Canis lupus familiaris: one gene and its partners. The protein of the gene in region 2 interacts with the protein of the main gene of each other region in a pairwise test. Links are inferred from orthologs where the notes say so. Each region holds a gene or a part of one and is shown on either strand. Other genes may lie near its edges. The genes, in order: EHHADH, TRIM27, USP2, PSMB3, ZGPAT, EIF3D and MRRF.

Region 1 (3,500 bases), on a different chromosome or scaffold from region 2:
CATTAACCCATATTGTGATGCCAATAGCTTCAAAAATTTTTTGATAAACTTCATTGGCTATGATACTGCCCCTGCACAAAGCTCAAAATAAATATTTGAGCCTCTCTCTTGCAAGGCTTTCCTAACAGTCAGTCATGGTTTTTTCCACTACTGATCATCCCCATCCATCGACCTATTATTGTTCATAACTTAGGTCTGCACTCAGTATGCAGAAGGCATGGTAAGAGGGACACAGAAAAACAAGCACTTAGGATATATGTCTTTATTCATAAGCCTTTATAAAAATTAAAATGCCATAAGGATTTGGTTAAATAATATATATATATGTAACATATATATATAACATATATATATATATAACAAAACTATACATCCATTTAAAACAATATTTTTAAAGACTATTTAAAATAAGATTAACAGCAAATTTCTCATCAGAAACCATGGAGGCCAAAAGGCAGTGGGATGACATAGGCAAAGCACTGAAAGAAAAAAACCTGTCAAACAATAATTCTATACCTGGCAAAACTAGCTTTGAAAGTGAAGGCAAATTAGGGGAGCCTGAGTGGCTCAATCAGTTAAGTGTCCAATTCTTGGTTTCAGCTCAGGTCATGATCTCATAGGTTGTGAGATCGAGCCTTGAGCAGGGCTCTGAGCTCAGTGGGGAGTCTGCCTAAAGGTTCTCTCCCTTCTGCCTTTCCCCCACTTTGGCACATGTGTGCACATTCTCATTCTCTCTCTAAAATAAATAAATAAAACTTTAAAAAGATAGCAAAGAAAAAAAAGCTGTAAGGACAAAATATTAAATAGGAAAAATACCAGAAGAGAACAAAATAGAATGCAAACAGTGGTTATTTCCGAACTGTGAGTATATGGTGATTTTAGTTTACATCTTTATAGTTTCCTGTATTTCCTAGTCTATTACAATGATCAATGTTATCTTTATAAGTAGAAAAATATGTTACTTGCAAAAATGTTACCATTATAAGATTGGTATCACAGACCTCATCTACATATCTAAAAGGACAAATTAAATCTATTTACAATCTATTAGAAACAAATAGATTTACAGTTTTGTGCTATTTTCAAATAGGAAATTGTCTTCCTGGGTACTGATAATTATGAGGGACCACAAAACTGAAACCTTTGAGATAGGAAATAAAAATTTAAATAAGTAAGCATATTCAGGAATGATAGTCAAAATACTTTAAACCTTTTATCTCATGAACACAGCTCAGATGAACCGAATGTGACCATACCACTGAAGCAGAGTCCTGGGGGCCCTGTACTGGCCCAGGAGTTCCCTTTTAGTTGGTGGATCTTGGGGAAACCCAAAGACTAGGGTTAGGGAAAGCAAAGGAACAGTCACAGGCTCAGACTAATAGCTATTTACCCATTAGAATGGTCATATTTCAACTACTACTACTGTGCTGGTATGTGACAGCTGAAAAACCATCACTAAAAATACAGGAGTTGTCAACCAGTGAACTAGTCTTTTAAAATGCTCACCTCTGAGGCTTACACAGCATTTAGATTTTGACTTAAAAAAAAGCCTCCCACACCAAGCCCCATATCGAGCTTGAGCTGTTACCTCTGCATGAGCAATCCTATAGTGACAGCCCAGCGCCAGCTCCAGTCCCCCTCCTAAAGCCAGGCCTTGAATAGCTGCCACCACGGGCTTCTCAGTTCTCTGTATTTCATCTACTATATGTCCTAGTACAAAGTCAGACTTTCTGGGCTCACCAAAGCTGTGGATATCAGCACCTAAGGACATAGACAAAGAAAAAGAGAGCTGAGAAAGATCTGGGCTTTGTTAACATAACAATTATGTAACAGATAACTCTCAAGGAACCTCTTTGGGCCCATGAAACATTTTATTCTTTAGTTGGACACACAGTGAAGGAAAATCAACCTAGAAAATGTAGAACAACATGGGAGAAAATCCTCAAATCTTGACCAGGAATCCTGTAATCTTCTAAAATCTGTCTTTCCAGGGCAGCCCGGGTGGTTCAGTGGTTTAGTGCTGCCTTCAGCCCAGGGCCTGATCCTGGAGACTTGGGATCGAGTCCAACGTCAGGCTCCCTGCATGGAGCCTGCTCTTCCTCCTGCTTCTCCCTCTGCCTGTGTCTCTGCCTCTCTCTCTGTGTGTCTCTCATGAATAAATACAATCTAAAATAAAATAAAATAAAATAAAATAAAATAAAATAAAATAAAATAAAATCTGTCTTTCCATGTGACAGATAACAACTCTACCTTTAAAAAAATTTAAAAAGTCAAGGGCCCCTGGGTAGCTCATTCGGTTCAGCATCCAACTCTTAGTTTCGGCTCAGGTCATGATCTCAGGGTTGTGAGGTGGAGTGCTGGGTAGGCCCCATGCAGGGAGCCCGACGTGGGACTTGATCCTGGGTCTCCAGGATCACACGCTGGGCCTAAGGCAGGCGCTAAACCACTGAGCCACTCAGGCTGCCCTCAACACCTGCCTTAAATGACTTACCAGAGAATTAAGCGGAAGTATACTATAATATATATTTAACAATATTGACAGCATTCTGTAACATTATTTTTCATATTTTCCTTTTTCTACATAACATTATAAATACTGAGCATTTTCCCTATTGATTATCTACTCTTTAAAAACATTAAGCTTGGTATACGTTAAAAAGTTAAAGCAATTATTTCACATTCAGGCTATTCATCTTTTTGTTTCTACCCACTCCTTACCTAGCATTATGTTTTTTTCTTACCAATCTATCATATTCACATTCTAATCTATTGTCATAGTTATGTAGATTCCTTTTTGGTTTAAGAGAAACAAGATCTATGGGACACCTGGGTGGCTCAGTGGTTGAGTGTCTGCCTTTGGCTCAGGACATGATCCCAAAGTACCGGAATCAAGTCCCACACCAGGCTCCCTGCATGGAGCCTGCTTCTCCCTCTGCCTGTGTCTCTGCCTCTCTCTCTCTCTCTCTCTCTCTGTGTCTCTCATGAATAAATAAATCAAATATTTTTTAAAAAAGAGAGTAACAAGATCTATTTCAACCTGCATCTTAGGCCTATCAGTCCTGTAACTTTAGATTTAAATGATTTTCATGTCCTAATAGCAGTTAGCATGTATTGGATAAATACTTTACACCAGGCACCATGCTAAGTAGTTTCTGATGCTCTTTTATTTAATTTTCTTAACACCTAGGTTAAGTAGTATAATGATCCTCATTTCACAGGTCAGGAAGTTAAGGATTTGTGCTGTTAGGTGGTAGTTCAAACACATGAGCAGTTAATTATGGGTAGAATAAGAACTTGAACTCCAGCAATTTAACTACATAGCCCACATTCTTAAATGTATACTGCATTCTTCTACTTGCAGTGTAAGGTTAGTACTTTTATTCCATTTTACAGAAACCAAGGCACAAACAAGAGTACAGTGATTTCATGTTTTCACTGTGTATTTCTGGCATATAGAAATGCAATTAATTTTTGGATATTGATTTAATATGCAGAAAAAA
Region 2 (3,500 bases):
AAGACAGATATTCAGAGCATGAATGCATTTCCCCTAAGGGATCCCTATCTTCCTGTTACCTGTGAACTGCTTCAGACTTTCCGTCAAGAACAGACATTTTTGTGCAAAAATGTGGATTTTCTCCTGCAGATCTGGAGGTGTGATCCAGGGCTCAGGGATCCGGATTCTTTCAGCTCTAAAAAAAAAAGAAAAAAAAAAAAAAAAAAAGGAGTAAATCCCTCCCCTCCTCTAACCCTATGACTTCAGAAGCCCAGACAAAGTCTGGGTTAAAATGACCAACAATGTTTAAAGCAGCCCCTACAGCCTTTTCCCTCTTCTCTGCCTAGACTGTGATCCTCTGGACAAAAGCAGGAGAAACAGCTTCCTCATCTCCATTCCCCCAACAGGACCTAGCTCATGGATTTTCAAATGGCTTGTCCTCAAAAAGGTTTACTGAATTAAACCGAATAGAAGGCTGACCGTGCCAGAAAGCAAAAGATTCCATGACAAAGTCCTTGAGCTTCATGGTGGGCAACAATCCAGAGGTAAGAACCCTTTTCAGGCAGATTGGCACCCACCCTGTTCAGGGGGTCCATGATCCATGACTGCCAGCTGCCTCCCCAATATCCCATCTCCCAAGTTACACCACGCTCACGGCTGCCCCGTCTAGATGCAACCCTGTGACTGAGCTCTGGCCAGTAAGAGGGAAGGAGTGTCTCATGGCAATCTGCGAAGCCTACTTCAGGGGGAGCGTGCTGTGACGTACTTATCACCCTCATGCTGCCTGGCGTTCCAGCAACCATCCTGGACCGGGACTTCAAGGACAGCAGGAGAGCGGAAAGAAGGAAACTCCCTGCTCCGCCCCTGGCTACCTACCTGCACCTTCCTCACAGGTGGCAATTTCTGAAATTATGTTTCAGCTTTAAGCCAACGAAATTTTTGGTTTCCTATCTCATACAGCCAGACCCCAACATTAATGTCATAAAACGCTGGGCTCTGAAGGGTCTATCTCCCCATGTCAGGCCAGAACTGGACCGGCATCAGTGACTGTAAGGGCAGGGATCACTGGGGCCATCTGGCTGGGACTGGACACGCTCCAATTCATCTCCCTCAAACCCTCGATTTTACCCCAGAATCTCTCCATGTGGCACTCCCAGCCAACCTACTCTATCTATGAGGCCCTGGCCCAGCTCATTTCTCTGGAGGGCTTGTACTGTGCAGTGTTTTAAACAATCTGAAAGTTCAGCTCCTTCTAAGTCAGCCTCTGCCCCTGTAGATGCTGCTGCACCAAACCCCAGCCCATGGGCCCCTGTCTGTCCTGCAAACACAGGTGAACTTTGGCATCTGGCCCGCTCCTCCCCGTCCCCATCAGATCACACAGCCAAGAAGGAATGAGAACAGGAGCCTGTATCAGGTAAGTTAGCACTGATTCTGCAACTCTGAGCCACCCACACTCCTCTTAGGCCATATTTTCCCCATCATACAGTTGGGGAGAGGACTCTGAAACCCTTGCACTTTGGCCAGCTCTGTGTGAGCCTTTGCTCTCCACAGATGTGTCCTCACAAATCACAGGTACTCATTCACCCGCAGTTTGTCAGTAATTCCTGAGTTTACTAAGCAGAACTGTGGTCCATCCAGCTCTCTGCACACCAGTGACTTGGTCCAGAGACGGGCAGGCTGTGTTTCACTCTCGTCAGATGTCCTTCTCTGGCTCCTTTCAGGATTTATGAGTCTAAGGGAAACATCCTCCTGTGTGACTGAGCACTGGAGAGAGAGAACACCGTACCTGCTCAGTGTGTCCCCGATGTCCTACAAGAGAAAGGAAAAGATAACCATGAGACCTTCGTAGCTTCAGTTTTCCTTCAGATGTTGGTTGGAAACCCAGGAACCAGCTGGCCCTCCTACGAAAAGCCAGGGAGACAAGGACCACAACTCAGCCCAGGACCTAGAGTCAGGGTGAGCAAAGTGAGATGCACAGTTTGCACTCCCAGCATCTCCTCTGTCCTGCTTCTGCCCCACTGGCCCAGGATCTCACGATTTCAAATTTCCAAACTCCAGTATCCCACCCTCAGACCACAACTGCCTACTTGTCCAGCTTGCTTTAACTTTTTATTGTGAAATAATTTCAAATACACAGAAAAGCTGCTAGTACAGAGCTCCTGGATACCCCTTCCCAGACTTTCCAGATTTTTTTTTTAAGATTTTATTCATTTATTCGAGAGAGAGAGAGAGAGGCAGAGACACAGGCAGAGGGAGAAGCAGGCTCCATGCAAGGAGCTTGATGTGGGACCTGATCCCGGGACCACACCCTGAGCTGAAGGCAGGCACCAAACCGCCGAGCCACCCAGGGATCCCCAATTTTCCAGATTTTATAACCACATTTATATGCAGAACCATTTGAGAGATCACTATTTACATTCTATGCTGTATCTTTGCCCCGTTAATACTTCTGTGTGTTTTTCCTAAGGATAAGTACATTTTCTCACATAACCACAGTAGTTATTCAATCCAGAATAAGGAACATGGATCTAATGATCAATGATCTAAGAAAACCTTTATCTAACCCAGTCCATACTCTAGTTTAACCAATCACCTTATTTTTTTTAAGATTATATTTATTTATTCATGATAGACGTAGAGAGAGAGAGAGAGAGAGGCAGAGACATAGGCAGAGGGAGAAGCAGGCTCCATGCCAGAAGCCTGACGTGGGACTCAATCCCGGGACTCCAGGACTGCACCCTGGGCCAAAGGCAGGCCCTTAACCAATCACCTTAATAAAGTGATCTTCAGCTACTCTCTTCCCTGCTCGGTAATCCATGACCATTCACCACACTCAGCTATCACCATGCATATCTGGAATGGCTCCTTAGGGCTGATTTGTCTTTTGTGACACTGACACTGGTTTAATATAGGTTGTTTATTCTACAGGATATCATCCTTCCTTTGGAGTTTGTCAGATATTCCCCTCATGATTAAATCCAGGCTGTATCATCTTTAACTGGTGTATGGTATGTTCTTCTTCTTCTTCTTCTTCTTCTTTTTTTTTTTTTTAAGATTTCACTTATTTATTTGAGAGACAGAACGCACAAGCAGGGGGGAGGGGTAGAGGCAGAGGGAGAAGCAGATGCCCCAATGAGCATGGAGCCTGATGCAGGGCTTAATCCCAGGACCCTGATATCAAGACTTGAGCTGAAACAAGAGTCCAATACTTAACCAACTGAGTTACCCAGGCACCCAGTGGTATATCCTTCTAAAGGTACATGATACTCAGTTGCCCCTTACTGGGGCAATTCTTTTTTTTTTTTTTTTTTTATAAGTTTTTTTTTTTTTTAATTTTATTTATTATTCATGATAGTCACAGAGAGAGAGAGAGAGAGAGAGAGAGAGAGAAAGGCAGGCAGAGACACAGGCAGAGGGAGAAGCAGGCTCCATGCAGGGAGCCCGACGTGGGATTCGATCCCGGGTCTCCAGGATCGCACCCTGGGCCAAAGGCAGGCGCTAAACCGCTGCGCCACCTAGGG
Region 3 (4,124 bases), on a different chromosome or scaffold from region 2:
GGATTCCGGGGGATCCCTGGGTGGCTCAGCGGTTTGGCCCCCGCCTTCGTCCCAGGGCATGATCCTGGAGACCCAGGATCGTGTCCCACGTCGGGCTCCCTGCATGGAGCCTGCTTCTCCCCCTGCCTGTTTCTGCCTCTCTCTGTGTGTGTCTCGCACGAGTAAATAAATTCTTTTAAAAAAGAATGGATTCGGATATGTTTGCAGGCAGAAATTTAAGTATTTCCCTCCAGGTTGCCCCTAGTTTCTCTGGGAAATAGAAGACAAGGAGGGACTTTGAGAATGGTGATGGCCAGCTAGAGCAGCCATGGGGGCGGGGGAGGACATAAGGACACTTGGAAGAACCAACAAGCCAGGTGAAATTGAAAACCTGGGTTTAGGGGCGCCTGAGTGGTTCAGTGGGTTGTGTCTGCCTTTGGCTCAGGGCATGATCTTGGGGTCCTGGGATGGAGCCCCTTGTCAGGCTCCCTGCTCAACAGAGAGCCTGCTTCTCCCTCTCCCTCCGCCCCTCCCCTTGCTCGTGCTCGCTGTCAAATAAATAAAATCTTAAAAAAAAAAAAAAGAAATAAGAAGAAGAAGAAAAGAAAAAAAAAAAGAAAAGAAAACCTGGGTTTGCCTTGGCACCAATCTACCTGGCTGCGCGATTTTCTTCAACACCATGAAGACACAAACGAATGGGGGCAGGCGAAGTTCTGTCTCGGCCTTTTCTTGAAAAAGTAAAAAGACTCCCTTCCGCTAAGTGCCTCTGTTTACCCCCTCAGGGAGCCATCAGCAATCATCACCAATCACCGGTTCCATGTTAGCAAAATGAGCAGAGTGTGCTTCGGAGGAGAGAAAAGGAGGAGAGGCAAAGAACAGGCTCCCTCCCAGGCCGGTGGGAAGGAGCGGGAGCATTTGGCCTCCCCCAAACCTGGAAGCTGAGGTCTGTGTGTGTGTACGTGTGTGTACACGTGCAAACACACACACACCACACATACATACGCTTACACATACCCTCACACACACCCCCGGCGCCCAAGCCCCGGGCCTCCCCCCGCTACCTGCCCGCGGCCCGGGCCCCGCCCCCCGCCCCCCGCGGGCCCGCCTCCCACCGGCTCCGCCCCCTCCAAGCTCGCGCGCCGCTTTCCCGCCACGTGCCGCTCTGTATATACCCGTCGCCTGGGAGACGCCGGCCGGGCGGGGCTCCCCTGACGTCACACTGGGAACAAGCCAATCGCCGTGACGCGTCTCAGTGACGCGAGACGCGCGGTGGGGCTCTGCCGGCCGGGGCGCAATGAGGCGGCTGCCCGCTGGGTGGCGCCGATTTCCCGGGGAGGTCCTCACCCGGCCCCGGCGGAGGTGGGGGAGAGGCGGGCAGGAGCGAGGCCGGGGAGCCCTCTGCGTCAGCCGCTGCTCACTGCGCCGCGCCAGCACCAGCCGGGACTCACCCGCAGCTCCATGCCTGCGCCCGGCCCCACTCGTCCATCCTCGGAGAAGAGGCAGGTATGTGCCACCTGTCGGAGACCGGGGAGGAGGGATGCGGAGGTCAGCGCGGTCGGAGGCTCAGAAAGTGAGGTGTCAACGACAGCCTGGGTGGAATGGGCACCAGCTATGTAGGGCGAGCGCCCGCTGTGCGGAGGAGCTCCAGCTGTGGGCGCCAGTTGGGGGGGGGCTGCCAGCTGACAGCCCGGGGTGCCAGGAAGAGCCATCTGTGTGCTGATCACTGTGTTCTAAGGAAACCCTGCTTGGGCAGGTCCGGGGCTCTGTGCCCCGTGTGGTGTATGGCCTGAGAGTGACGCCTGGTCGCTGACAACCCCTTCCCCACGTGTGCGCCCAGTTCAAGCTCCGGCGGGCTCTCTCTGGTCAGTTTGCCAAAGGGGTGGGGGTGGGGGGAGGGCAGCAGTTAAGTGGAGGGGGAGATTTTCCACCAATCCCAAACCAGAGAGAGGCATCTTTGAAATTCTCACCAATCCCAAACCAGAAGCAGGCACGCGGTGCTCCAGGGCGAGTAACTTACACTTAGCCACGGGAAGCCCTGGCCAAGCCATTCTAGGTGGGACCCCCCCACCCCCCACGAGTGAACGTCTACCTCCTCATCTGGCAGCTTTTAGAATGGGGCTGAGCTGGAGATGGTGGTGATGTCCACCTCCCCAGGCATGGGCATGAGAAGGTCCCCGAGTCCAAACCCGCAAAGTGGAGGAGAGGAAAGCTGGTTAGGCTGGGTTGGGGCATCCCCCACTCCTCTGATACTGTAGATACGTGCCAAACTGGAGTCGGAATGACGATTGGAATGAGGGCCAGGGACGAGGGCGTCCTCTGAAGTGCATCACCAGGACCCAAGCTGAGTCAGTAGCCTCTGCTGAGACAGGGTGGAGGCACCATCCTGGGTACTCCCAGTCCTCAGGGAGAGCCATCGAGAAACAGGAGACACAGACTGGGAGCAGACAAGAGCACCAAGGCCCAAGAGGTTAAGAAAGAATCCTGCTCCATCCTCCTGTGAGCCTGCCCAGCCCAGCTCTGTGGCCTTGGAATCCTGAGCACTCCGACAGGTAGAGTGGAACCACCCCAGAGCAGCTTTCTCCTGGTAGCCTCGGGGCAGCTGCACTTGCTTTATTTTTCTAGGCAAAGGGGGAAAGGGCCGTAATCGACCTGGCTCTTCTCCACTGGATGGGCTGGACATCTGGGAATATAGCAAGAGTCATTGGCCCTTGCCAGTTATGGGACATGGAGCAGCTCAGAAAACCACGGGGCTATTGTCTAGTGTTAGAACTGAGCACTCCCAAGGGGTGGCCCAGAGGCCCTATTCTCCCTAGGAAGGCTTCCGTGGCAGGTGCAACTACAAATACTCCCATTAATTGTAACAATTAGTGGAAGTATTCAGCATAATCATTACTATCATTTATTGAAATTTTACCATGTGCCAGGAAATTTACAAATATTATTTAATTCTCACAATGGTGAGATATATAGCATTATTATACTCTTTACTCCTGTTTTACAGATCAAATCACTAAGGTCCAGACAGCTTACATGACTTGCCCACTGTCTCAGCCAATAAAAGGGAAAGAACTGGAATACAAGCCCAGGCCTAGAAAGAAGTCCATTATAAAAGAATTTGGAACCGAATGCCTGAGAGCAGGTCCCGCCTGTCACTACCTGTGCACCCCGGATCTCTAGGTCTCTACCTCAAAAGGGAGGATTTGCACCAGCACCGAGGCTTCCTCCTCTCCTTTCCTCTCCATTCCATCCCCATCCCTCTACCCTCTTTTCATTCGTCTCCCCTTGGATCCCTCTTCTGTTCCACTTCAAAATGCCCCCCTCCAAAGAGCCCTCCCACGATCTCCTTGCCTGGCAGTGGCCCACTGGGGCAACACCTCGAGGGAGGGCTGGCCACTGCCCCTTTAATTCTCCCCTGGCCTGGAATGCAAGTGAGTTGAGCTAGCCATCTCTGTGAGGTCAGATAAGATACTATATATATCGGAGTCCGTAACCTGAGCTCCGGATTACCCAGCCCCAGTCAGACTTCAGCCTCTGGGCTCTCTACCGCGCTCCCTGCCTTGCTGGGGAAGGAGAAGCCCCCAGATCCTGCCCAGTGCCCCCGGACACAGGTCAGTAGCTGCCCGTGTAGTATGTGAGCTTCATGGGGCCGCTGTCCAGGGAGCCCTTTGTGTTTGGGGGAGCATGTGAGAGGCTGCCCAACAGGGCCTGGAGGGTGCCTGGGGCAAGATGGAAGGCTCAGGCTCAGAGGGGGCAGGCAGAGGCAGGGAGAACAGGGCAAAGGCAAGCCCAAGAGGAAAGGGAGGGAGACGGGGACTCTGCCTGTGGAAGGGGCACCAGGAGAGCTCCCGACAGGGCCCGTTCCTTTGCCTTTTCTTGGAAGTGTAGAGATGCCTACCCCTCATCCCCCACCCCCCAGCCTCAAATCAAAAGGCATGCTATAGAGATAGTACCCTGGGCCTACTCCCTTCTCCACCAGTTAGGACCCTTGCCCTCATCTCCAATCTCTCTCATCCCTTCACTCCTCTCCCAGCCCTTGGGCAACTATTGGGAGCAAGAAAGAGATGGATCCAAATTCCCTTGAACGACCCCCTGCCAAGGCATGTAAGAGGATTAGGCACTCAACTGGTGGGTGGCTAGCTCGGCAC
Region 4 (3,500 bases), on a different chromosome or scaffold from region 2:
TGTGAGTCTCCTGGCAGGCAAGGCAAAGGACACTCATCGAGTTGGGTTATTTCCTTGTCTGCCTGTGCCTACAAGGAAATAGGAGATTATCAGTTACTTGTTCTAGGGGACGGTTAGATGGCTCAGTAGTTGAGTGTCCGCCTTTGGCTCAGGGTGTGATCCTGATCCTAGGATCAAGTCCTGCATCAAGTCCCGCGTTGAGCTCCTGATGGGGAGCCTGCTTCTCCCTCTGCCTGTGTCTCAGCCTCTGGGTATTGCTCATGAATAAATAAAATCTAAAACAAAAACAAAAACAAAAACCCAAAACCTTGTTCTAGATCCTGAGCTTCGAGAAGAATTAATCTCTGGAATCTCTCTATAAAATACTCAGAAACTAAAAAAAATAAAAAAAAAAATACTCAGAAACTAATGACCACTAGTCTCAATAGAAACAGTAACTAAGATGTTTTGTCTTTACTTATCCATGTCTTATACCAGTTCTCAGTAATATCTAAGAGTATGACCTTCAATTACAGCTCTACAAAAGAAAATTCTAAAGACAAAAACCTAGTTAATTGTAACATGAAGGGGTTGAGATAGTGTGCTTTGAACCCTTGTTTCTTGAACAGATGCCTGGGTATCAACTTATTTAAGAAATTTAAAATCCAGGGGCACCTGGATGGCTCAGTGGTTGAGCGTCTGCCTTCAGCTCAGGTTGTCATCCCAGGGTCCTGCGATCGAGTCCCACATTGGGCTCCCTGGTCAGTGGGGAGTCTGCTTCTTTCTCTCTGCCCTTCTCCCTTATTCATGCTCTATCTAAAATAAATAAAATCTTTTTAAAAAATTGAAATCCTGTATTTAGTTTACAATAAACTGTAAATACATATAAGAATATTCTAGATTATTTGGGCGACTTTTTTTTTTTTTTTCTTAAGATTGCATTTATTCATGAGACACACAGAGACATAAGCAGAGGGGAGCCTGATGCAGGACTTGACCTGAGCCAAAGGCAGACGCTCAACCACTGAGCCACCCAGGTGCCCCTTCAAGTGACAATCTTAAAACTAAATACAAAACACAGTTCAGGGTCAGCATTTAGACATCAAGTCACACTGACCAAGGTTCCACCCGAATGTAATAACTTTTACGGACAATGTCTCACAAAGAGAGGTACTTGGATGGATTCTCTGGGACCACGGGAAGTTTTTTCTTTGAAAAAGGCTTTGCACATTGCTCAAATTTGCAAATCACAGCACTAGCCTATCCTGCTGGAAAGTCACTGACTTCAGCTGGGCTTATAGAGAAAGCTCCTGGCTAGCTAAGAACCTAGAATTTTCCAGGTCAGCCTCAATGTTCTGCGTTTTTCTTATTTTCAATAAACAAAGTAGCTAAGTTGGTAGAGCATGTGACTCCATTTGTGGGTTTCTTTTTTAAGTTTACTTTTTTTTTCAAATAAATTTTTATTTATTTATGATAGTCACACAGAGAGAGAGAGAGAGAGAGGCAGAGACACAGGCAGAGGGAGAAGCAGGCTCCATGCACTGGGAGCCCGACGTGGGACTCGATCCCGGGTCTCCAGGATCGTGCCCTGGGCCAAAGGCAGGCGCCAAACCGCTGCGCCACCCAGGGATCCCTTAAGTTTACTTTTTTATTTAAAGTAATCTGTGCACCCAATGTGGGGCCTGAATTCACTACCCTGGTTGTGAACTCAAGCTCTATGATGGATTTATGTAGAATTTACTTAAAAACAACAATATGAGCCATTACAAATATACCTAAATGTGAGTTATCTTTAGGACTGTATAAGACATTGTCCCCCTCTATAAATCAGTTTTAAAAATCATTTAGGCCTTTGTCAATTCAGGATTTTGATAAACATGGTTACCATACATGGCAGACAATACACATCTGAGGATAGATATTACCACACCTAGAAATACGCAATCGTTTTATAGGTTTTTATTTTTATTTTTATTTTTATTTTTATTTTTTTTATTTTTTTAACTTTTATTTATTTATGATAGTCATACAGAGAGAGAGAGAGAGACAGAGACAGAGGCAGAGGGAGAAGCAGGCTCCATGCACCGGGAGCCCGACGTGGGATTCGATCCCGGGTCTCCAGGATCGCGCCCTGGGCCAAAGGCAGGCGCTAAACCGCTGCGCCACCCAGGGATCCCTATAGGTTTTTAGATTGTATACTAAAAAGGCAACAGTATTGCTCCACGTATGGAAATGGCAAAGACTTAGTTGTAAGAGCTAAAGAGTACTTCTGTAACTTTTCCACAAAGTTTGAAATTATCTTAAAATAAAAAGTTTAAAAAGAAAAAAGAAAACAAAAGAATCCCACTTGTCTTTCTGCCACCCAGTGTAGCCCAGAGATGAGTGGAAAAGTCCCCGTGGGGCTCTTCTTTAATTTCTGCTTCTGCACTGGATTCTGTGCCTAGGCCTTTACTTTCCTCATCATGAAGTCTTCAAAGAAAACTCCATTCCTAGGTCCCGAGAATCTAGTGCCAACAGAATTAGCTCTGGAGTCAGGATGGCTCCTGGCTGGGAGACTCCAGGGCACTCTCTGGAAGGGTTAATTCTGTTGCCTGGAAACAAGTTTGTCTGCTATTTGCATTCCTTGTCTTCTTCTGAAGTAACTGTTCCTGTCCTATTTGGTTATCAGAAAGGCCCATGGAAAACAGACCCAAAAAGTAAGGTTATCACCCTGCAAACAAGAAACGGGAGGCAGAGGAACCTTCCCAGGCATCTCTCCATACCACGTGCCTACTCGGCCCAAGGTTTCTGCATTCCCCAAGTCCCAGGCTACACTCCGCTCACCGTTTCTCATACAAGAGGTTGGCCACCATGCTCATGAGTGTGTAGGGCTTGATCTGCCGGCCTTCCTTCAGCTCATACAGGTTTAGCCGGAACTTGAGACGCTGGGCACTGTGACAGAAGAAAAGTCAGGTAGTAAGTCACAAGTGAATGGTCCCCTGGTGTCCACCCCCTGGAGGTCAGGATGTATGTAGGGAGACACACAATCGCCTCCCCCTGACAAGACTCTTCTCTTTCCCTCCCAGTGATTTTTCTCACCGGAAGTCCAGCCTCACGTCCATGTTTCAGATTATCCAACATTTACCACCTGTAAACATACCATTCTGTAATACCTCTCTTCCCATACCTTTTGCTGAGGTGAGGGGAAGTAAGGAACAGATTTTGCCTTTCTTTTTTAAAATTTTAAAATTTTTATTTATTTATTCATGAGACACACAGAGAGAGGCAGAGACAGAAGCAGGCTCCCCATGGGGAGCCCATGCGGAATTTGATCCCAGGACCCCAGGATCACGACCTGAGCCAAAGGCAGACGCCCAACCACTGAGCCACCTAGGCATCCCCTTTGCCTCTCTTTCTTGAGGGACAATTTATATACCATAAAATACACAGCTCCTCTACACTCTTGGCAAGAGTCTACCTGCAGACACACAGATGGGAAATGACAGTCAAAAGAGCAGTGGACCAAAAACAAAACAAAACAA
Region 5 (4,017 bases), on a different chromosome or scaffold from region 2:
TCCATTGTCCCAACAACTATGAAAGACAACTCTCGTTTGTTTTACAGATAAAGAAATTGAAATACAGACCTTAAGCTATAAAAAATGAACGAAAAAATACTGTATCTCACTAGGAACCAAGGAAACACAAATTCAACCATGATCCCATTTTCCCAGCGCTCAGCAGGCAGGAATCGGCAGTGATAGAGAGGATGAGGGACGAGGCACCGGCCTTCATACGGAAGCGGGAACTCTGCACACTCTCGACACACCGGTCCCATACTAGGGAAATTCTCAGGCAGGTACAGAAGAAGACGCTACTAAGATGTTCACAGCAAGCTGTTTGTAACAGACAAAAACTGGAAAACATCAGAAAGGAACATAATAAAATGTGGCACATTTGTGAGAGAAAAGAACATAGCAGTTAAAACCAATTAAACAGCTCTGGAGATACCAGCACAGATGCCCTCTCACATCCCTGCTTAGTGAAAAAAGCAAGTTGCAAAATAAACCATCCTGTGTGACACCATTTGTTTCAAAAGTAGCACAAAAAGTTACTCTTCTCATATAGGCTCCTGTCTGCGGAGAGCTAACATCTGCTAGAGGTAAACACAAGGGAGTTGTGATCACAGCCTGGGAGGAGAAGGGGCTGTGACACAGCTATTTTTAAAAATACAAAGCAGGGGCGCCTGGGTAGCTCAGTGGGTTACTGAGCTAAGAGCGTCTGCTCAGGTCCTGCTCAGGTCCTGATCTCAGGGTCGGCTCCGAGCTGAGCAGGGAGTTTGCTTGACATTCTCTCCCTCTCTCCTTCTGGCTCTCCCTACACGGAGGGTGCATACTCCCTCCCTCTCTCTCTCACAAATAAATCTTTAAAAAATAAATAAAATAAAAATGCAAAGCAATGCAAGAAAAGCGTTGATCTGTCTGGCAGTGGCAAGTGGCTGTCGTAGGCTGTGCCAGTCGGGCCTATAGCTAACACAACAGAGCAAGGCACAGCAGTTGGGGGCCGAGGCAAAGCTAGCCTGTGCCCGCTGCAGGCTCGCTCGTGCCGCCGTCTGTGCCAGGCAACCTTAGCCGTGGTGGGGCCCACCCCTGGGGCTTGCTGCACGGAGGGGTCAACACACGTGAAACTCCTGGCCCGGAGCCTGGCCTAGAGGAACAGCACACGGACACGTCAGCTCTCATCGTCACAAGGGGCATCACCCGGGCCCGTGGAGGCACCCAGAGGGTAACGGCAGAGAGGACGAGAGGGCTTGCTGGTCTGTTCTCTGACCTGTTTGTTCAGCAGCACATGGATGGGTCTGCTTTGTGAAAACTCCAGTACGTTTCATGATTTACGCACCTTCCCGTACGGGTGCCACACTGTAATCAGACTTACAAGGAAAGAAAGGATTGTGGAAAATCGTGTTAAAGGACGCTCTGGACCCAGCAACGGTCCGTAAGCAAAGACAAAGACCAAAGGACTAGAGAGAGTTTCCCTGGGTTATTGACTCAAAAAGAAAATCATCTGCAAGACTTGGTAAACATTCCTTCCACAGATGGAAGCGATAAGGAGCAAAAGCCGAGTCGGGCATTTTAAGGAAAGAGTGACACCGTTGCCACAGTCGTGTGAATCTCATCATGAACAAGATCCAACTTACGGATTTGTCAGGGATGCGACCCTTGAGCATCGATTGATGAAAGAAAAAAAAAAAAAAGAAACCAGTGACTTCTACGGTTTCCTTTACACGGTGCAGGCAAACAAGAGGAAGACAAAGGAGAGAGCAAACACGAGCCTGGCAAGGAAGGGCTGATCAGCGGCGAAGGGGGCAGCGGGCGGCCCCACGCCGGGCCCTGCGGGGCTGCGACACTGCATTTTGCAAGCTTCCCCCGAAAGAACCAGAGCAGCGAAGGGTGGGGCACCGTGCCTCCCAGGACGGCGCGGCCTACCTGCGCCCCTGCCCCGGACTCACCTGCAGCTGTCCTGGAAGCGGCACTTGCCCTCCAGGAAGAAGGGGCAGGGCTTCAGGGACTTGTGCGTGGGGTAGAGGTAGAGCACCCGCACGCCCGCAGAGCCGTCGCGCGCCGCCTCGGTGCCCACGATCATGGCGTTGTGGTACTCCAGCGTGCCCCAGGAGCTGTAGTACGGCGCGTTCACCTTGCGGCCGCTCAGCGCCTCCTCCTCGTCGCCGTCCTCGTCGCCGGCCCGCTCCTCCTCCCCCTGCCCGGGCCCGCTGGGTGCCGGCTCGGGCTGGCGCTCGCGCTCGGGAGCCGTGTCCGGCGCGGCCCCGGGGGCTGCGGGCGCTGCGGGCCCCGCCTGCTGGGAGCCCCGGCTGTCGGCGTCGCCCGGGGCCGCGCGCTCCCCGTCCAGCGCGGCCAGCAGCTTGCTCTTCCGGACGGACACCAGGCTGGCCTCGGTGAGCTCGATGAGCTCCTGGAGGTCGCCGCGCAGCTGCCGCAGGTCGGCCAGCTCCGAGGGCTCCAGGCCGGCGCCCAGCGCCAGCTCCACCTGCTGCAGCTGCGCGTCATAGGTGTGCAGCGCGGCCTGCAGGCTCTCCTCGTCCATCCTGCGGCCCGGCGGGCGGCGCGGCTGCAACGACGGGGAGCCGCTGAGCGCCGCGCCGCCCCCCGCCCCGCCCCGCCCCCGCCGCGGCCCGGCCCGCTCCGCCCGCCCCGTCGCCTCGGGCCCCGGCCCCGTCGCCCCAGACCGCGCCCCCTCGCCCGGGCCGGGCCCCGCCTCCGCGCGGGCTCCGGGCCGCCGCCATAGAGCCCCGCCGGCCTCACCGGCTAGAGCGGCCGGCGCCCCCGCCTCCGCCCTCGCAGCCCACCGGCACTTCCTCCCGGGCGCCGCCGCCGCCGGAAGTGCCTCGCGCGGGGGACGCCGGGACGCGGCGCGCGGGGAGCGTCGGGACGGCCCCTCCCCCCCGCGGCCTGCGTCCCGTCGGGCGCCGCGCGAGGTCAGCGCGGGGTCGGCGCGGGTCGGCGAGGTCAGGCGCGGGCGGCTCCGCGGCCCCGACGGGCGCCAGGTAGCGCGGGCCGGTCGCCCCGGGGCGGGGGGGGCGGGGCGGGGCCTCGGGGGCCGCACCCGCCGTCGGGCCGCGACGCCCGCCGGCCGCCGCCTCGCAGCCCGGCTTCGGGGGGGGGGGTTCGGACGCCGCCAGGGGCTCCCGCTGCGCGGCCGCCGGGCACCTGCTGGGGCGGGGGCGTCGTCAGCCCGGGGAGCCTGACGTCACGGCGGGCCTTCGGGGGCGGGGGCGCGGGGGGAGGGGGAGGGGAGGGGGGGGAGGGGAGCGCCCCGGCTCCCAGCCCGCCGCGACCGCCGCCTCCGCTGCGCAGGCAGGATGTACACGCTGCTGTCCGGCCTCTACAAGTACATGTTCCAGAAGGACGAGTACTGCGTCCTGATCCTGGGGCTGGACAATGCGGGCAAGACGGTGGGTGCCCGCCCCCGGCCCTCCCCCTCCGGGCGGCCCCGCCCGCCCCCACGCGCCCCCCGCCCGCCCGGGACGGACACCGGACACCGGGGAAGCCGCCCTCACCTCCCGCGCGCGTCTCTTCGCAGACGTTCCTGGAACAGTCGAAAACCCGCTTTAACAAGAACTACAAGGGAATGAGTCTCTCCAAGATCACGACCACCGTGGGTCTCAACAGTAAGGCCCCCCCCCCCCCCCCCGGGGCGGAGGGCTTGGGGGGCCGCCCGGGCCGCCTCGGGGAGCCCAGAGCCGCCCGTCCCTGGCCTGGCCGGGAGGCGGCGCGTGGCAGCGGGTCCCCAGCCTGTGCTGTCCTCTGTCCTCTCCCCGCAGTCGGCACTGTGGACGTGGGAAAGGCTCGCCTCATGTTTTGGGACCTGGGGGGCCAGGAAGAGCTGCAGTCGCTGTGGGACAAGGTAAGCCGGCCGTGCCCAGGCCGCCCCTCGCACCGCTTCCTCCAGGGACACCCCCGGCCCAGCCTCCCCTCAGCTCCGTCCCCCACTGTGTCCCTGAGGCTCCCCCCAGCCCTGTCCCAGCTCCCCCGTTGCCCCCACCCTCGAGAGCGAGGACCTGCCAGTTCCCTTTTAAC
Region 6 (3,500 bases), on a different chromosome or scaffold from region 2:
TCGTCCTCCACAAATGGGTTTGGGTTAGGGAAGTTGTATCTTTCCTTCCCCTGCCAACAGACAAGGGTGTCACGAGACAGCAAGCACCCGTGGCTGAGCCCATGGACCAGCCCCTGCACTCAGCTTACAGTCCTGGCTGGCTCCCTGCAGCCCTTGAGGGGGTGGTGGGCTCCACATGCACTATGTCGTGGGCTGCTTACTCCTCCCAACTTCAAGCACAGACCCCCTGTATCTGAATTCGCAGCCATGACTGACCACTGTCCTGTTTCACTTTTTCTAGAGTACATGCCACCACTCGACATGACATAGGTTTGTTTAGTTTACTATCTTTCCTTTCTGTTATAATGAAGCCTCCTAAGGGCAGAAACTTTGCTTATTACTACTAGATCTCCAGCACCTAAACAGTATATTGTATAAAACAGCATGGGGATCCCTGGGTGGCACAGCAGTTTGGCGCCTGTCTTTGGCCCAGGGTGCGATCCTGGAGACCCGGGATCGAATCCCATGTCGGGCTCCGGGTGCATGGAGCGGGCTTCTCTCTCTGCCTGTGTCTCTGCCTCTCTCTCTATCATAAATAAATAAGTAAATAAATAAATAAATCAGCAAGTTTGTCAAACACCTGAAAGAACCTCTACATCCTGTCTGGCTGAGACAGGTATGCTTAGTATTTTAACCCTATAGAGAAGAAACATACCACACACCACAAAGCTCTGAAGTGGTGAATCTAGGGTTCAGTCAGGCAGTCTGACCTCAAAGCCACAGCTTGGAGCTCTTCTGTGACAGGAAGAGACCATGCCTGCCCCTGCTCAGTCCCACAACCCCACAGCCTACCACAACGCAGATATTCAATGGGGACACTGGGAAGGGGACAAAAGAGAATCTGGTGCCCAGATGCTCTCTCCGCCTTACCATTCTCAAGCACTGCTGGGAGAAGTTGTGATTGATGTAGGTTGCTTCCATGGCCAAGTTGCGGGGTGAATTGAAGGAATTGCCTTCATCTTGTGGGGGCTCATTGGCAGTCTCACTCACTGTCAGGAGGTCTGCAAAAGTGGCAGCGTGGTCACCCACCAGCGAAACCGAGTCATCAACAATGTGCCTGGCAATGCAGGGAGGGGCCACGATCCCAGCAACACAGGCCCATCCTTCCAGCATCTGCTAACCCAGCTCTCCCAAGCGCGGGGTGCAGAGGCGAGGAAGCAGGAAGCACTACTGGGTAACTTCGGATCCTCTCTAACATTAAATTCAAGCACATCATAAGACAACGATCCCCTTTCAGTCCCTTTGGATTCCTCAAAATAATATCTGATTTTGTCAGCTTTTTAACAAGAAGAAGGTCCTAAGCCTCTGGTGCGGAATGTAATTATATCATTCCATCTCACTGCTATCAAATTTCAGTGACATGGTTTCCCTTCATGGTGTGTCTATACACATTTATGTTGTTATCAAATACATGCACATGTAATCTTCCCTTTATAAATACACTGAAATAAAGGTAAAAGAAACATTAATTTAAAGAAAACATGGAATAAATGTTAAAGGTGGTATGGAGCATTGACAGAAGCCAGGAAAATGCCATTCAAATGAGTAACACCTGCACACATAGTATTGGGGCTATGGGAGGACTCAGAAATCTGGCACCTCGAGGAGGTAGTGCATGACAGGCCTTCGCTGAGGAGGCGGGGAGGGATTCAGCTGCAGCCATCAGTGCTTGTGAGGACACAGACCACTTCCCGTCCACTCTCTAGTAGCAGGGACTTGCTCGAAACCAACAGAACACCTGACACCTTGTGCTGCTCCCAGACAGGCTTCTTACCAAAATCAGAGTTGTCCCTTTTATCAAAGAAGAGCTTGGACCCAACTCTTTGCACAACAATGTCCCAGGAATACACGGAGCGGGTGCAACTCATCAGTGTGGCCAGAATGGCATCAGTGGCAAACACATTACCCTGGGTTTTTGCCAGCTGCAAAGAGGACAGAGAGAAAGAGAGATGTGAAGATACACTTAGGCCAAACAGCCCACGTGCACGGAGGACTCCCCTGCAGGGAGCTTTCTTGCCTTCAAGCACACGTGCACACCCCTCTAACCTGTCTTAAGGGGTGAGTCCGGCAAACCAGCCCACAAGCTTCCATGGCCAGTCACCACCCTGGGATACAGGGACTGCAGCTCTCTGAGCACTTGCCATATTCCAGGATGGCACCTTGCAGTGCTTTCGTCCTGCCTCCAGTGGCTGGTGGTAAGCACATTCAACCCATCTCATGGGTAAGCAAAAAAGGCCTCAGGTAGGTGGTGCGGGGGAGCCCGGTAGAGCTGGGATTCGAGTCCACCTCCGCTTAACCCCAACATTATGGTGTAGCCAGCAAGGTGCCTGTATTCCCATCTAGTCCTGTCCCGTTTGGGAGCATCTTGTCTAAAAGGGTTTCTGAGGTCCCAAGATCCATGGATGTGCCTGTGTGCTGTTCCTTCTGCAGCCTCAACTGTAGAAGCCAGCAGCACTCCTTCAGGGTGCCCACCTTTCGGATGACAGGGTCATCTGTGGTGGTGACAGTGTGGAAGATGCGCTTGATGCTCCGCAGCGGCTTCTCGCTCCTCGTGGTGATGCGGTCGAAGGCTTTATCGTAGTACTCCAGGGCACCACAACACTCGCTGACGGGACAGTGGAGAAGACACACAAAGGAAACGGGAAGATCATCAGCTGCTTTTGTTATTTTTTGTTTGTATTTTAAAAGCCATTATAGAAGGGTGCCTGGGTCGCTTAGTCCACTAAGCAGCCAACTCTGAATTTTGGCTCAGGTAATAAACTCAGGGTGGTGAGATCAAGCCCATATCAGGCTCCACACTCAGCAGGGAGACAGAGCCTGCTTGAGATTCTCTCCCTCTCCTTTTGCCCATCCCCTTGCTTGTGTGCGTTCTCTCTAAAATAAATCTTAAAACGAAAAGACATTGAATCCAAACTCTTATCCAGAAATCTAAAAAATAAGAAATGGTTTTTCTTTGATGAGAACAGAAGACAAGTTCTCAGAGTTCACTCAGGGCCCGTCCCCTAAGCTCTGGATATGGCCCCACAGAGCAGCATGAACAAAACTGATTGACTCAACCTCCACATTTTAATGACATGGTGACTGAGGCCAAGATGAAGAGACAGGTAGTTCTAGAGGCCTCCAGATGCACTGACTTCTAACCTGGTACTCCGGTCCCCACTGACATTGATCTGCTACTTGAGGTAAACAGCTCTTTGTAATGTCAGGAAAAGCTTTGCTTCTGACAAACTACTCTCTCTTCTTGCCAAAAGAGCCACACAACTTGATTTCTCTTTTGCTCACGATGCCAGGAAGTGGAAAGAAATCTCTCAAGTTTAACATCAGCGAACTTCTTTCTCCTAGTCTCGCCTTAGCCTTGATTTTTAAAAACACATTAATCTTGTGCAATGTCTTAGCAGCTTCAAATTCTCTTTTGGAAATACTATGGCTTAGGAACATAAGTCACCAGCAGCAGGTCCACA
Region 7 (3,500 bases), on a different chromosome or scaffold from region 2:
AGGCTCTTGGAAGGTAGGAACAATGTCTTTTCTTTCTGTATCTACAGCACCTATTAATCAGCACAGTGTAAGTGCTCAATAACATTTTGGTGAATACATAAGTGTGTAGATGGACAAATGAATGGAAAAGGGTAAGAACAAACACATGAATAAATCTATACCTTAGACAACTATTAAGAGCAATCAACTTCTTTAGAGATAGAAATTGCTGGTAGACAGCTGGAGGTGTGAAAGGAAAAGTGCCTGCTGGTTCGGATAGTAATGAAAGAGGATATGTAAAATTTGGCATGCAGAAGACTGGCTAAGTTCAGTTTCACCCAGTCTCTTCATGGCCCCAAGTTCTACGGAGAACGTTACACAAACATAACCCTGAAGAGAAGGAGGCAAAGAGGAAATACCAATGGGAGGCCTTTTGAAAATGGATCTTAGCTCAGCTTTCCTGATTTGCCATAAGATCCTTTGCCACAGAAGTTGCAACGTGGGCTTTTCAGTATGCAATTGTGGTGGTTCCCATTCCCTAAATACATATCGACATAATGCATCAAATCCTTTTCCCTCAATCTGTCCCCAGCGAGAATCTCCCTCAGCCTCATTTCTGCCCCTCATTTTCTCAGAGGTTAACATTTAACAAATTACACTCCCTACCTCTTTCCAGGCCCATCATCTTTTTAAGTTCAACAAGAGTGGAGCTTGCTGGCTAATTTTAAGTATCACATTTCTCCCTGAGCTCCTCTCAAACTGCTCTCTGGTTTCGGCTGCAGAATGTTAACAGGCCAGAAAGCACAGGGGAGACAAAGCACTTTATCAGTTTCATACCTAAAATAATAAGCAAGTTTAAAATAAACAGTTGGGAGAGATTGAATGGCACGCTCTACTGCCAGCAAAGGCAGAAATGCCCTAGTCCAAAGTTTGACAAATGACGGAATGGTCTTCTGATTTCACATAGGATCTCGTCTCTCTGAACTCAGTATGTTTCTCCTGGTGTTTATAAATGGAGCTGTATATTTTTCACTTGGTTTTCTTAAGAACAAGTTCACAAAATATTTTCTAGTTTCCTTAGGAACTATCCCAACCAAGATGTGAGTGGGAGCAGCCCAAGCTCCCAGAGATAACTTCAGAGGGGGTCTCAGGCTTGACTCTAGGATGATGACAATTTCCAAAAGGCCAATTTAATAGCAATTGGATTTTTCCTGCCTGCCTGCACCATTAGCTGACAACTCACTTCTTCCATCACATCTGCAAACAGTTCTCCTAGACAGTTCTGACATTTCCCACTTAGAAAAGCCACTTTCAGGAAGTTATTAACCCAAACGGAATCTTCCTGGTCAAACTCAGGGGTACAGATATGCCTCAGATGGATAGGTTTGCAGCCACTTGGTTCCCAGAAAGCCATAAGAATGGCCAAATAGGATAAATCGGAAAAATCAGACCAAAGATGTCAGTTACTGTGAGATTAAATACCCAAAAATGTTTATATAGCATAACCATAATAAAACTCCCATTTTCTGAGAGTGCAATTCCATGAGAGCAAAGACTATGCCTATTTTTTGTTCACTACTGTGTACCAGCATAATACTTACTTCAGAGTAGACAAATATTTGCTAAATGGATGAATCAGGTATTACTGTTAACTATGAGCCAGGCACTGTGCTCCAACCATTCTGTATTTATTTTAATACCTACCCCAAAGATATAAAGTAGGAATTAGACAAGGAAACTGAGGACCAGAAAAGTAAAGTAATTGTCCATGGTCACCAGTTAGTAAGTAAGTAACAAAACTGGGACTGAAACCCAGCTCTGCCAAAGCCATGATCTTTCCACTATGCCCCTCTCCAAAACTTTGGTTCAGTCACTAACCTGGTGAGGTCCTTATACTGATAGTTTTATTGAAATTATCTTTGAGTGCTTCCATCACAGACTTCATTTCTTCATCCACCTCTTCCAAGTTGATTATATCCTCAACCAAGGCAGCATTAAGATTCACTCTGGTTTGGAACTGTCCTTTCCCTTTGGCTAGAAAGTCAACAATCATTGAATAAAAGAACAGCAGCATAGACAGAGATAATAAACAATTAGTGAAGAAGTACCTACTAAGTGCAGGGAAAAAATGCCAAGTGCTAAAAAATTGTACATTAACAGTATCCTAAGAAAGAACTTTAATTATTGTTCACTAGGTCCCCAGAACTGTGCTAATCACTTTCTGAGATACTAGTGAAGACACAGGTTTTATAATGAAATACTTCAGGTGAAAATCCTGACTATGATGAATACCAGTTTTATGACTTTGGGCAAGTTACTCTACTTTTCTGAGTATCGGGTTTCTTGCCTGTGAAACAGGGATAATATCTGTACTGCCAGGTTGCTATGATACAAATTAAGTAATTCAAATACCTAAAAGAGCACTGTCCATATGGCAGGCACTCCATAAATGAATTCCTTATTTTTTAGAAAAATAAACTGAAAATGAGAAAGGTAAAGTGATTTGCCTAATGTCATAAGGTCCTGGAATTGTAAAGCCAAGATTTGGTCCCAGATCTGTCTAATTTTAAATCCAAGAACTTTCCATTAGATTGTCTCTGAAAAATCTAATTGGAGACACAGGAAACATATTAATTCATTTTAAAATGAATACTAAGGGAGGATATGCAAAGTATCTGATAGCCAGGACAGATAAAAAGAACAACAGTAGTTAACAAATATTAAACACCACTAGTGGGGGAATCCCTGGGTGGCTCAGCGGTTTAGCACCTGCCTCCGGTCCAGGGCATGATCCTGGAGTCCGGAGATCAAATCCCGCATCGGGCTCCCTGCATAGAGCCTGCTTCTCCCTCTGCCTGTGTCTCTGCCAGCCCGCCCCCCCTTCTCGTGTGTGTGCGCGCGCGTGCTCTCTGATGAGTAGATAAATAAAATCTTTAAAAAATAATAAAATAAACACCACTAGTGGTAATAACAATGGTTTGTATTTCAGAAAATCAATAGCAATGGCAGCTGAATAAAATTTGATTTTATGCCTAAGCCACCAGTTCTTTTTCCATATACATTCTATATATATAGATCACTCCCATGAGTAATACAAATATTCCTGCCTTTCTTCATGGAAAGTAGGTGAAGGGGAAAAAAAAAAGTAAAAATACTAAGTAATACTATCTTACATTTGTTAACTATTTGACAAATTTTTTTTTTTAAAGATTTTATTTATTTATTCATGGTAGTCACACAGAGAGAGACAGAGAGGCAGAGACATAGGCAGAGGGAGAAGCAGGCTCCATGCAGGGAGCCCGACGTGGGATTCGATCCCGGGTCTCCAGGATCGCGCCCCAGGCCAAAGGCAGGCGCCAAACCGCTGCGCCACCCAGGGATCCCTATTTGACAAATATTTATTGAGATTTATTCACAACAAATTTCATTGAACATCTACAGTGGGCCAGATCCTGTGATATTTCTAGAGTATATATATATTTTTTAAGATTTTATTTATTTATTCATGAGAGACGCAGAGA

What was found.
Region 1: the proteins of TRIM27 (region 2) and EHHADH interact in binary tests that used the Homo sapiens proteins (3 or more experiments, as listed by UniProt). The two-hybrid records come from large-scale screens. The link is inferred for Canis lupus familiaris from reciprocal best matches to the Homo sapiens genes TRIM27 and EHHADH.
Region 3: the proteins of TRIM27 (region 2) and USP2 interact in binary tests that used the Homo sapiens proteins (3 or more experiments, as listed by UniProt). The link is inferred for Canis lupus familiaris from reciprocal best matches to the Homo sapiens genes TRIM27 and USP2.
Region 4: the proteins of TRIM27 (region 2) and PSMB3 interact in binary tests that used the Homo sapiens proteins (3 or more experiments, as listed by UniProt). The two-hybrid records come from large-scale screens. The link is inferred for Canis lupus familiaris from reciprocal best matches to the Homo sapiens genes TRIM27 and PSMB3.
Region 5: the proteins of TRIM27 (region 2) and ZGPAT interact in binary tests that used the Homo sapiens proteins (3 or more experiments, as listed by UniProt). The two-hybrid records come from large-scale screens. The link is inferred for Canis lupus familiaris from reciprocal best matches to the Homo sapiens genes TRIM27 and ZGPAT.
Region 6: the proteins of TRIM27 (region 2) and EIF3D interact in binary tests that used the Homo sapiens proteins (3 or more experiments, as listed by UniProt). The two-hybrid records come from large-scale screens. The link is inferred for Canis lupus familiaris from reciprocal best matches to the Homo sapiens genes TRIM27 and EIF3D.
Region 7: the proteins of TRIM27 (region 2) and MRRF interact in a two-hybrid assay, tested with the Homo sapiens proteins (2 studies listed by IntAct). The link is inferred for Canis lupus familiaris from reciprocal best matches to the Homo sapiens genes TRIM27 and MRRF.

The regions. Positions count from the first base shown.
Region 1 is NC_049255.1:18,226,678-18,230,177, forward strand, and holds part of EHHADH (peroxisomal bifunctional enzyme), read right to left. Parts: intron 1,762-3,500; coding exon 1,589-1,761; intron 1-1,588. UniProt on the Homo sapiens protein: Peroxisomal trifunctional enzyme possessing 2-enoyl-CoA hydratase, 3-hydroxyacyl-CoA dehydrogenase, and delta 3, delta 2-enoyl-CoA isomerase activities. Catalyzes two of the four reactions of the long chain fatty acids peroxisomal beta-oxidation pathway.
Region 2 is NC_049256.1:27,394,762-27,398,261, forward strand, and holds part of TRIM27 (zinc finger protein RFP), read right to left. Parts: intron 1,789-3,500; coding exon 1,766-1,788; intron 176-1,765; coding exon 60-175; intron 1-59. UniProt on the Homo sapiens protein: E3 ubiquitin-protein ligase that mediates ubiquitination of various substrates and thereby plays a role in diffent processes including proliferation, innate immunity, apoptosis, immune response or autophagy.
Region 3 is NC_049226.1:14,550,286-14,554,409, forward strand, and holds the start of USP2 (ubiquitin carboxyl-terminal hydrolase 2), read left to right. Parts: upstream 1-1,324; 5' UTR 1,325-1,482; exon of another isoform or gene 1,483-4,124. UniProt on the Homo sapiens protein: Hydrolase that deubiquitinates polyubiquitinated target proteins such as MDM2, MDM4 and CCND1. Isoform 1 and isoform 4 possess both ubiquitin-specific peptidase and isopeptidase activities.
Region 4 is NC_049230.1:23,432,526-23,436,025, forward strand, and holds part of PSMB3 (proteasome subunit beta type-3), read right to left. Parts: intron 2,911-3,500; coding exon 2,803-2,910; intron 1-2,802. UniProt on the Homo sapiens protein: Non-catalytic component of the 20S core proteasome complex involved in the proteolytic degradation of most intracellular proteins. This complex plays numerous essential roles within the cell by associating with different regulatory particles.
Region 5 is NC_049245.1:48,102,665-48,106,681, reverse strand, and holds the start of ZGPAT (zinc finger CCCH-type with G patch domain-containing protein), read right to left. Parts: upstream 2,801-4,017; 5' UTR 2,743-2,800; intron 2,549-2,742; 5' UTR 2,525-2,548; coding exon 1,932-2,524; intron 1-1,931. Other genes in the region: ARFRP1 (ADP-ribosylation factor-related protein 1), read left to right, coding at 3,300-3,392, 3,521-3,608, 3,762-3,844. UniProt on the Homo sapiens protein: Transcription repressor that specifically binds the 5'-GGAG[GA]A[GA]A-3' consensus sequence. Represses transcription by recruiting the chromatin multiprotein complex NuRD to target promoters.
Region 6 is NC_049231.1:28,897,657-28,901,156, reverse strand, and holds part of EIF3D (eukaryotic translation initiation factor 3 subunit D), read right to left. Parts: exon of another isoform or gene 2,645-3,500; coding exon 2,512-2,644; exon of another isoform or gene 1,962-2,511; coding exon 1,814-1,961; exon of another isoform or gene 1,041-1,813; coding exon 910-1,040; exon of another isoform or gene 51-909; coding exon 1-50. UniProt on the Homo sapiens protein: mRNA cap-binding component of the eukaryotic translation initiation factor 3 (eIF-3) complex, a complex required for several steps in the initiation of protein synthesis of a specialized repertoire of mRNAs.
Region 7 is NC_049230.1:60,391,866-60,395,365, forward strand, and holds part of MRRF (ribosome-recycling factor, mitochondrial), read right to left. Parts: intron 2,014-3,500; coding exon 1,858-2,013; intron 1-1,857. UniProt on the Homo sapiens protein: Responsible for the disassembly of ribosomes from messenger RNA at the termination of mitochondrial protein biosynthesis. Acts in collaboration with GFM2. Promotes mitochondrial ribosome recycling by dissolution of intersubunit contacts.